2 linked regions of the Xenopus tropicalis genome follow. The protein of the gene in region 2 interacts with the protein of the main gene of each other region in a pairwise test. Links are inferred from orthologs where the notes say so. Each region holds a gene or a part of one and is shown on either strand. Other genes may lie near its edges.

What was found. The genes of interacting proteins can lie anywhere in the genome.
Region 1: the proteins of pfdn5 (region 2) and pfdn2 interact in binary tests that used the Homo sapiens proteins (3 or more experiments, as listed by UniProt). The link is inferred for Xenopus tropicalis from reciprocal best matches to the Homo sapiens genes PFDN5 and PFDN2.

Annotation. Positions count from the first base shown.
Region 1 is NC_030684.2:143,079,827-143,084,523, reverse strand, and holds the start of pfdn2 (prefoldin subunit 2), read left to right. Parts: upstream 1-1,578; 5' UTR 1,579-1,581; coding exon 1,582-1,620; intron 1,621-3,237; coding exon 3,238-3,326; intron 3,327-3,488; coding exon 3,489-3,612; intron 3,613-4,697. UniProt on the Homo sapiens protein: Binds specifically to cytosolic chaperonin (c-CPN) and transfers target proteins to it. Binds to nascent polypeptide chain and promotes folding in an environment in which there are many competing pathways for nonnative proteins.
Region 2 is NC_030678.2:147,137,682-147,142,249, reverse strand, and holds the start of pfdn5 (prefoldin subunit 5), read left to right. Parts: upstream 1-1,647; 5' UTR 1,648-1,668; coding exon 1,669-1,740; intron 1,741-1,982; coding exon 1,983-2,085; intron 2,086-2,170; coding exon 2,171-2,202; intron 2,203-2,724; coding exon 2,725-2,799; intron 2,800-4,568. UniProt on the Homo sapiens protein: Binds specifically to cytosolic chaperonin (c-CPN) and transfers target proteins to it. Binds to nascent polypeptide chain and promotes folding in an environment in which there are many competing pathways for nonnative proteins.

The sequences.
Region 1 (4,697 bases), on a different chromosome or scaffold from region 2:
AGGCTTTGATTCGAACGAGAGAAGGGAATATGAATAGGAGAGGGGCTGAATAGATAGGTAATTGATATAAAGTAACAGTAACAATAAAACGGGTCAGTTCTCCTGTTGCTAGGGCTCAAATTACCTTAGCAACCAGGGAGTGGATTGAATGAGAGACTGGTATATGAATAGGGGAGGGGCTGAATAGAAAGATAAGGAATAAAAAGTAACAATAAAACTGGAGCCTCACAGAGCAATAGGGTTTGGCTGCCGGGGTCAGTTATACTGTTGCTAGGGCTCAAATTACCTTAGCAACCAGGGAGTGATTTGAATGAGAGGCTGGCATATGAATAGGGGAGGGGCTGAATAGAAAGATAAGGAATAAAAAGTAACAATAACAATAAACTGGAGCCTCACAGAGCAATAGGGTTTGGCTGCCAGGGTCAGTTATACTGTTGCTAGGGCTCAAATTACCTTAGCAACCAGGGAGTGATTTGAATGAGAGGCGGGTATATGAATAGGGGAGGGGCTGAATAGAGAGATAAGGAATAAAAAGTAACAATAACAATAAAACTGGAGCCTCACAGAGCAATAGGGTTTGGCTGCCGGGGTCAGTTATACTGTTGCTAGGGCTCAAATTACCTTAGCAACCAGGGAGTGATTTGAATGAGAGGCGGGTATATAAATAGGGGAGGGGCTGAATAGAAAGATAAGGAATAAAAAGTAACAATAAAACTGGAGCCTCAAAGAGCAATAGGGTTTGGCTGCCGGGGTCAGTTATACTGTTGCTAGGGCTCAAATTACCTTAGCAACCAGGGAGTGATTTGAATGAGAGGCGGGTATATAAATAGGGGAGGGGCTGAATAGAAAGATAAGGAATAAAAAGTAACAATAACAATAAAACTGGAGCCTCACAGAGCAATAGGGTTTGGCTGCCGGGGTCAGTGACCCCCATTTGAAAGCTGCAAAGAGGCAGAAGAAGAATTTATTTAAAAACTATAAAGAAATAAATGGGAAACAGGATTGGGAGATTTAGTCCAAGACACTAAGTGCTAAGACTTTACTTTCCCTTTAATCTCTTTACCAAGATAGGGAATGAGCTGGGAACCCCAAGATGAACCCCATTTGACTTGTTATTCTCTAGTGTAGTTATATATGTTTATTTAACCTGCATCTGGGCAGAGAAACCCCAGAAATGGTGGCTGACCAATAACAGGCGCACTAGGGAGTAGTCACATGACAACAGGAGGCTAACGTCAGCTCCCCGGGCTTTGGCTGAGCATTCTGGGATCTGTAGTTTAGAGACTTCCGGACACCCCATTAGCCAATCGCATTACGCAGCCCCCCCGCACGGGCTATAAAGAAGCGGCGATATATCTGACACACACACTTTCCCAGGAGGCCTCAGCTGTCACAATGTGTTGACGTCACTTACTACGGCCCGACTATGACGCGGCTTATGCGCCCCACCAACCAGGCGCTTCCAGTCATGCTTTTCCCTCTCTCAACATGGCGCCGCCAGGACTTCCCGGGCGGAAGTGGCGTCGGAACGCATAGACTTCCGCTGCGCGGAGAAGGTGCGCAGTGCGAGAGAGAAGCGTGATGGCGTCTAATGCAGCGAAGCAGGTGGCGGCCGAGCAGGTACTGGGCATGGTGGGCATAATGGCTGCTGGGGGGTCTGCCCGGCCGGTACCCCCCCCCCCCAACCGGCCGTTTAAAGGGCAACTAAGCCCAAAGCCCTTTTTTCATTATGGCCATTCATTCCCTTATATAGACACATGTGCTATTATAAGCTCAGTGGGAACAGGCTTCCTTGGGCATTTACTCAGATTCATTCCCTATTGGGATCCCTGATAGCCTTCCCACAGCAGCCCAGGAGCAGCCGGCTCTTCTGCTTCCTAGAAACTGTTGCTAGCCAGCTTGGTAGCAGTGTTGCTATGGTACTGAGCTGTTAGTGATATCCCATAATCCCTCAGTTGGAAGGGGGTTCAACAATGGGACTGGGGCACCTTAGTGTTTTATTATTACAGAGAAAAGGGAATCATTTAACCATTAAATAAACCCAATAGGGCTGTTCTGCCCCAATAAGGGGTAATTATATCTTAGTTGGGATCAAGTACAGGTACTGTTTTATTATTACAGAGAAAAGGGAATCATTTAACCATTAAATAAACCCAATAGGGCTGTTCTGCCCCAATAAGGGGTAATTATATCTTAGTTGGGATCAAGTACAGGTACTGTTTTATTATTACAGAGAAAAGGGAATCATTTAACCATGAAATAAACCCAATAGGGCTGTTCTGCCCCCAATAAGGGGTAATTATATCTTAGTTGGGATCAAGTACAGGTACTGTTTTATTATTACAGAGAAAAGGGAATCATTTAACCATTAAATAAACCCAATAGGGCTGTTCTGCCCCAATAAGGGGTAATTATATCTTAGTTGGGATCAAGTACAGGTACTGTTTTATTATTACAGAGAAAAGGGAATCATTTAACCATGAAATAAACCCAATAGGGCTGTTCTGCCCCAATAAGGGGTAATTATATCTTAGTTGGGATCAAGTACAGGTACTGTTTTATTATTACAGAGAAAAGGGAATCATTTAACCATTAAATAAACCCAATAGGGCTGTTCTGCCCCCAATAAGGGGTAATTATATCTTAGTTGGGATCAAGTACAGGTACTGTTTTATTATTACAGAGAAAAGGGAATCATTTAACCATTAAATAAACCCAATAGGGCTGTTCTGCCCCCAATAAGGGGTAATTATATCTAAGTTGGGATCAAGTACAGGTACTGTTTTATTATTACAGAGAAAAGGGAATTGTTTAACCATTAAATAAACCCAATAGGGCTGTTCTGCCCCAATAAGGGGTAATTATATCTTAGTTGGGATCAAGTACAGGTACTGTTTTATTATTACAGAGAAAAGGGAATCATTTAACCATGAAATAAACCCAATAGGGCTGTTCTGCCCCCAATAAGGGGTAATTATATCTTAGTTGGGATCAAGTACAGGTACTGTTTTATTATTACAGAGAAAAGGGAAATAACTTTTTAACGTGATTAAAAAAGAAGTCTATGGAACATTATGGATAAAGGGTTTCTGGATATTGGACCCCATAGGCCCCTGTAAGAAGATGAGCCAATGCTGGGCTGATCTGTTTGCCCACATTGTTTAAGAGTTGCCATTAAAGGGAAAGTTAAGCCAAATACCCTTGTTTAATATGTACGTTCTGTGTTTGTTGCTACAGGTGGTGGCTGGATTTAATCGCCTGCGCCAGGAGCAGCGAGGTCTCGCGTCCAAGGCAGCGGAACTGGAGATGGAGCTTAACGAACACACGTGAGTCTCATTAGCAAACAGGTCGTTCAGCAATGAAGAATCCTTCAATGTGATTCTCCCCGAGGGTCGTTATTCCTCTCTGTTGCACGCTACATTTGTTCTGTAGTCGGAACCAGTGCAGATCTCCCTAACTAACTGACAGTCGTCTCCCTCGCTCCGCAGGTTGGTTATCGACACCCTGAAGGAAGTGGAGCAGGGCAGGAAGTGTTTCCGGATGGTCGGGGGGGTACTGGTGGAACGCACCGTGAAGGAAGTGCTTCCGGCTTTGGAGAATAATAAAGAGCAGGTAAGGCTCTGCCTTGTGGGCACCTAATTAAAGGGCATATTAACCTTTATTGGGGGCAGAACAGCCCTATTGGGTTTATTTAATGGTTAAATGATTCCCTTTTCTCTGTAATAATAAAACAGTACCTGTACTTGATCCCAACTAAGATATAATTACCCCTTATTGGGGCAGAACAGTCCTATTGGGTTTATTTAATGGTTAAATGATTCCCTTTTCTCTGTAATAATAAAACAGTACCTGTACTTGATCCCAACTAAGATATAATTACCCCTTATTGGGGGCAGAACAGCCCTATTGGGTTTATTTCATGGTTAAATGATTCCCTTTTCTCTGTAATAATAAAACAGTACCTGTACTTGATCCCAACTAAGATATAATTACCCCTTATTGGGGCAGAACAGCCCTATTGGGTTTAATGGTTAAATGATTCCCTTTTCTCTGTAATAATAAAACAGTACCTGTACTTGATCCCAACTAAGATATAATTACCCCTTATTGGGGCAGAACAGCCCTATTGGGTTTATTTCATGGTTAAATGATTCCCTTTTCTCTGTAATAATAAAACAGTACCTGTACTTGATCCCAACTAAGATATAATTACCCCTTATTGGGGCAGAACAGCCCTATTGGGTTTATTTCATGGTTAAATGATTCCCTTTTCTCTGTAATAATAAAACAGTACCTGTACTTGATCCCAACTAAGATATAATTACCCCTTATTGGGGGCAGAACAGCCCTATTGGGTTTATTTAATGGTTAAATGATTCCCTTTTCTCTGTAATAATAAAACAGTACCTGTACTTGATCCCAACTAAGATATAATTACCCCTTATTGGGGCAGAACAGCCCTAAGATATAATTACCCCTTATCAAAGCATTCAAGACCAAGTAAATGTTAGTTGGGGAGGGCGGAGCTTGACACTGGCTAGGGTGTGGCTACAGACATGAAACACAAGTGATTGGCTGCCCTGGGCAGTTGCATTCAGCTCTTGCCCTGCCATTCTGAGCTACATTGGGTGATACTGGGTGGCCCTGGCATGTAGCTGCCCCCCCCCCCCCCCCAGTTCTGAGCGTAACCCCCACGT
Region 2 (4,568 bases):
TGGTGTTCCCTGCCCTGATGGGATTATTAAACCTGCCCAATCGAGAGCTGGCTGATTTTCGTCCAGATGTCGTTTGGAGGGTCCCATACACAGGCCAATAAGCTGCAGATATATCGCAGATGTATGACCACCATAAGGGATGATATGGAGCCATGTGGCTGAGGGGGAATTCTGTTTGTAGATGTAGCTGCAGCAAAGTACTTTATTTCCCATTGAGAGGGGTGTGAGTCTAGCAGGTGAAATGCTATCATGGTGCCTGTGGGGAGACCAAAGAATATCTCTGGCAGAAGTACTGGTGAAGAGAGCAGTATTATTAATAACATTTATTTATTAAGTGCCAACATATTCTACATATTCTACAATCAGTATTTTGAAGCATGTCAACTCTGAAAAGGAGATGCAAAAAGAAATGCAATGCTGCCCCCATGTGGAAGGCAGTTTAGAACATGTCCTATGAACTTTCACTGCAATAGATGCCTTTTAAGAAGAGGATTTAACACAAATTAATATGCTATGCAACATTCCAGTAACCCACAGATACTTCTAGGGTCATACCGAAGCCCATCAATAAAGCTAAGAAAGGTAACCTTAGACTGGCAGAAATACTTGTATTAAAAGCAGTCAAATCAATCCCGTAATGTTGGACAGCAACACAACCCCCATCAAAGCAATTACGAGAACATAAGCTTCTACATACTGTGCAACTTCAGTGGGTCTTAGCTCTTCAAGATTAATAATCAAGAGGATCACTGTTCTATAGCGTTTGGAACAAATACCTAGACACATTTGTCAATGGGAAAACAACACAAACAATTAGCCCCATTCGGGTTTACTAAATGTTGGGTGGAAAACTCTCTTTTGGAATAACTAAATCCACCAACTAACCAAACAAATTCTGCTCCCTCCTCCTCACTTGCCTAAAGACCAAAAAGGCATTACTTTGTATTTATTTTTATGTATTTTTTAAGAAATGCAACACTGTCTGGGACTGATGACACTACAACAGCAAGTCAAGTTAAAGTATTTTTTTTGTGACTACATTTTGCATTGTCCTGATGACTTGCTTTTGCCTGTAGAACTTTAATGTGTACTATTTTCATGTATGAGCATTCATATTATGGCTAATCTTTCTTTGTACACAAGAATGTGTGATACATGACTGCAAAATGTAAATTTTTAGTGAATTTCAAAATTTCTTAAAAAACAGTGCTTAACCTACTGCATAGATTCTTAAAATATTATATTGTTATGGGGGGGTCTCTCTTCTTCCGTTTCCTACTGTTTGTTTCCTACTCTATATGTTCCTCTATTCTTTCTTCTCTATTGATTGTTGAAATACCATGTTACTGGTAGAAATGAGGTAGTTTAATGTAACAATAGCATTTTGTGTACTTTTGCACTTATTCCTCTCTTTGCAAAATAAGAAAAAGAAAATCTAAAAAAAATATATATATATTTCTGCGATTTGACTTATTTATAAATATCATGTTAGCAAGCGGACCATCTGCCAAGTACACGGTCCCTTACATGTTAGTACGCATGCGTCGCAGCCTCCGGACTATCATAGAGCGCTAGCCGTGCGTACAGAGCGCCAAACAATATACGGTTTCCCAGCTAGACAGTCACTATAGTAATGTAGTAGGAAGGCGGGGTTCTTCCTCTCTCAAGATGGCGCAGACAGTGAACATTACCGACTTGTCTCTGCCGCAGTTGGAGGGATTGAAAAGTCAGTTGGACCAGGTATCTTAGTTAATCTTACATTGCCGTCTTAAATTGGGGATGCCTCTGTGTTGGTTTTTCCCCACGACTAAACGTAGTGTCCCACAACTGGCTTGGATGAGTTCTGGCCACCCCGTGGCTGTGGATCCCTTACTCCCAGAGTCCCACTGCAGCTTTTGCTGTCCCGCCCCAGCCTGGTGTTGCTCATACTCCGGGGTTACAGGGTTAGTAAGGCCTTCCTTATGTGCCTTTTCCTTTCATAGGAAGTGGAGTTCCTGTCCTCCTCCATCGCTCAGCTAAAGGTGGTTCAGACCAAGTATGTGGAGGCAAAGGAGTGCCTGAGTGTGCTGAACAAAAGCAATGAAGGTGAGTGACAGCGGCAGCCAGTTAGTAGGGTGTGTCAGTCGGCTTAGTTCCTCTCTCTAATAACCTGTATGTGTTTATCTGACAGGGAAGCAACTGCTTGTTCCCCTGACCAGCTCTGTATCCTTTTCATCACTATATTATGAAAAAGCCATATGGTGGCAAAACCAGTGAGCTGCTTCCAGTTTTAAAGTATGTTCTCTTCTATTTGTTTATTATATTATTAATGTAAGGAACGTTGTAAGTCTGTAGCAAGCTAAGTGTCAAAAATCTACTAAACAGTAATGCATTTTTATCCAAAGTTTAAACACTAAATGGCTAAACTGCTTAGGTGACTGCTTAAAAGAGTGTGATGATGGTTGTTATAGTGTAGGAAAAACATGTCAAGAATAGCAGCACGGTGTGTTTTTCCTGGGTACTTGGACAAAAATGTACTGTATACAGTCAGTCAGGCTATACAAAATATAGACCAATTGAAAAGTTGCTAATATTATAGGCCATTGTACAATGTACCAAAAGTTATCTTAAAGGTGAACTCCCCTTTTAATGAGCAAAAAAAAATAGAAAACCAGTATTTGCACAACAGTGTTTAAAGAAGAACAGTAGGTGTGTGGGTTTTTTCCCCCTTAACCTTTCATGTAGATGTATGTGCCTGGGACTCTTAATGATGTGTCAAATATACTGATCGATGTGGGTACTGGATATTATGTGGAAAAGGTGAGCTACTTTTTTGTTTGTTTTTTAGCTTAAGGTGTGACTGTGATGAGCAACCTACTGTTAACATTTTCTTGCGCAAAAGTTTGTTAGTATATTTCTAACTATACATAACACATTATTGCTACTCTTCAAACCATCTGGTGTGACAAACAGATTTAATTTTTATTGGTTGAATTAAAAGCAACTGGTTTATTTTTATTTTTTAAAATTTAGCGTGTTCTGGAACATGCACAGGTTATTCTCGCAGTTAAGATTGGCAGAACTTGTGCAAGTTTTGCCCAAGAGACCATTGGCTAGACCAGTAGGAAAGCGAAAAGCAGCAATAGGGAAATTTGACTACTTGTGTAAAGCTGCTGTACATATGCATAAGCCCTGTATAGGTAAATAATAATCCACACTTGCTTACTTAGTTGCCCTTTAATATCATACCACAATACATTCACAACAATGTAGCCATATCACTTCTAGAGGTAATTTGGTGCTGATATCACTCAGAGAAATTTACCTCTAGAAGTGATGGCACTTATTATAACTGAAAAAATAACTTGAAGCACTTATATTTATTATATATTATATATATTAGTGAACCTGGGCCTATGTGCTTTTACCCCAGAAAAAGTATTTTTTTGTTAAACTGTCTGCTTGCAAAGTGGGAGACTTAGGCAGCTGCAGTTCTCTGCAAGGAATTTGTTAGGCCTACAGCAGAGGATGTTAAGCTAAGCAATTTAACAGCAGTGTGCTTTGTAACCACTATATATATATATATATATATATTATATAATATATACATATTTTGGTTTCAGAGTACCAAGATAAGATGTTATTTTATTTTTAAAGGTGGCCATACATGTAGCAATTCCGATCTTTCCTGCGACCATGAGTTGCAGGAAAGATCGTTCGTTTCCCCCACTGACATTCAGAGTCATCGGATGTGAAGGTAGAAACAATAGGAATTCTACCTCCACCTGCCGGTTCAGCCCTGAACGCAGGTTTTGTTCGGGCGCCTTCAATGGCGCCCAGTCAAAATCTTTTAACCCGGCTGAGCGATGAGACAACCGATATCCGCAGCCTTTGCAATAACGGTCATCTTGTCGATCTGCCATACACGCACCAAATATCATACAAAACGAGGTTTTGTACAGTATCATCAGTGCGTGTATGGCCATCTTTACTCAGTCAAAATATAATGAATGCAGTGCACTTTAAGCTGACAGGATCTGTAGGTATCTGTTTCTGATAAATGTATCACTGGGCACTTGTAGTGTAAGTTTTTAATATAAGGAGATTCATGAATTCGGAAAGATATATGGTATGATTAAAGCTTAGTTAATTTTGAAGGCATATTGTGATTATTTGCCTTTACAGGGCACATATACCCACTGGTATAACTTAGGGCTGAACTTCACATGAGATTTTGTAGAATGGTGTTGGTTTGACAGATCGCATCCTGTCGAATGTAGTTGCATGGTTAAAAAATAATGGGACTGATAGAAAAATCTGATGTGTAAACTATATGAAAGCTTTGCCATCAGATGCAATGTGCCTTTTGGTAGTCGACTTTGCCTGCTGTGTCTTCATACAACCAGACAAAATCTCATAGTGTCTGAAAGAGATTTTTTCTCATTAAAATACATGTCTGATATAGACACGGAAACAGGATCATACAAAACATTGTGCTTGTTGCGTGACAAGATTTTGTGGGTCACACAAAATCTGACCCAAAAATTCTCATCAAAATCTCCTGTGTAGTTTAGCCCTTAAAAGGGCAC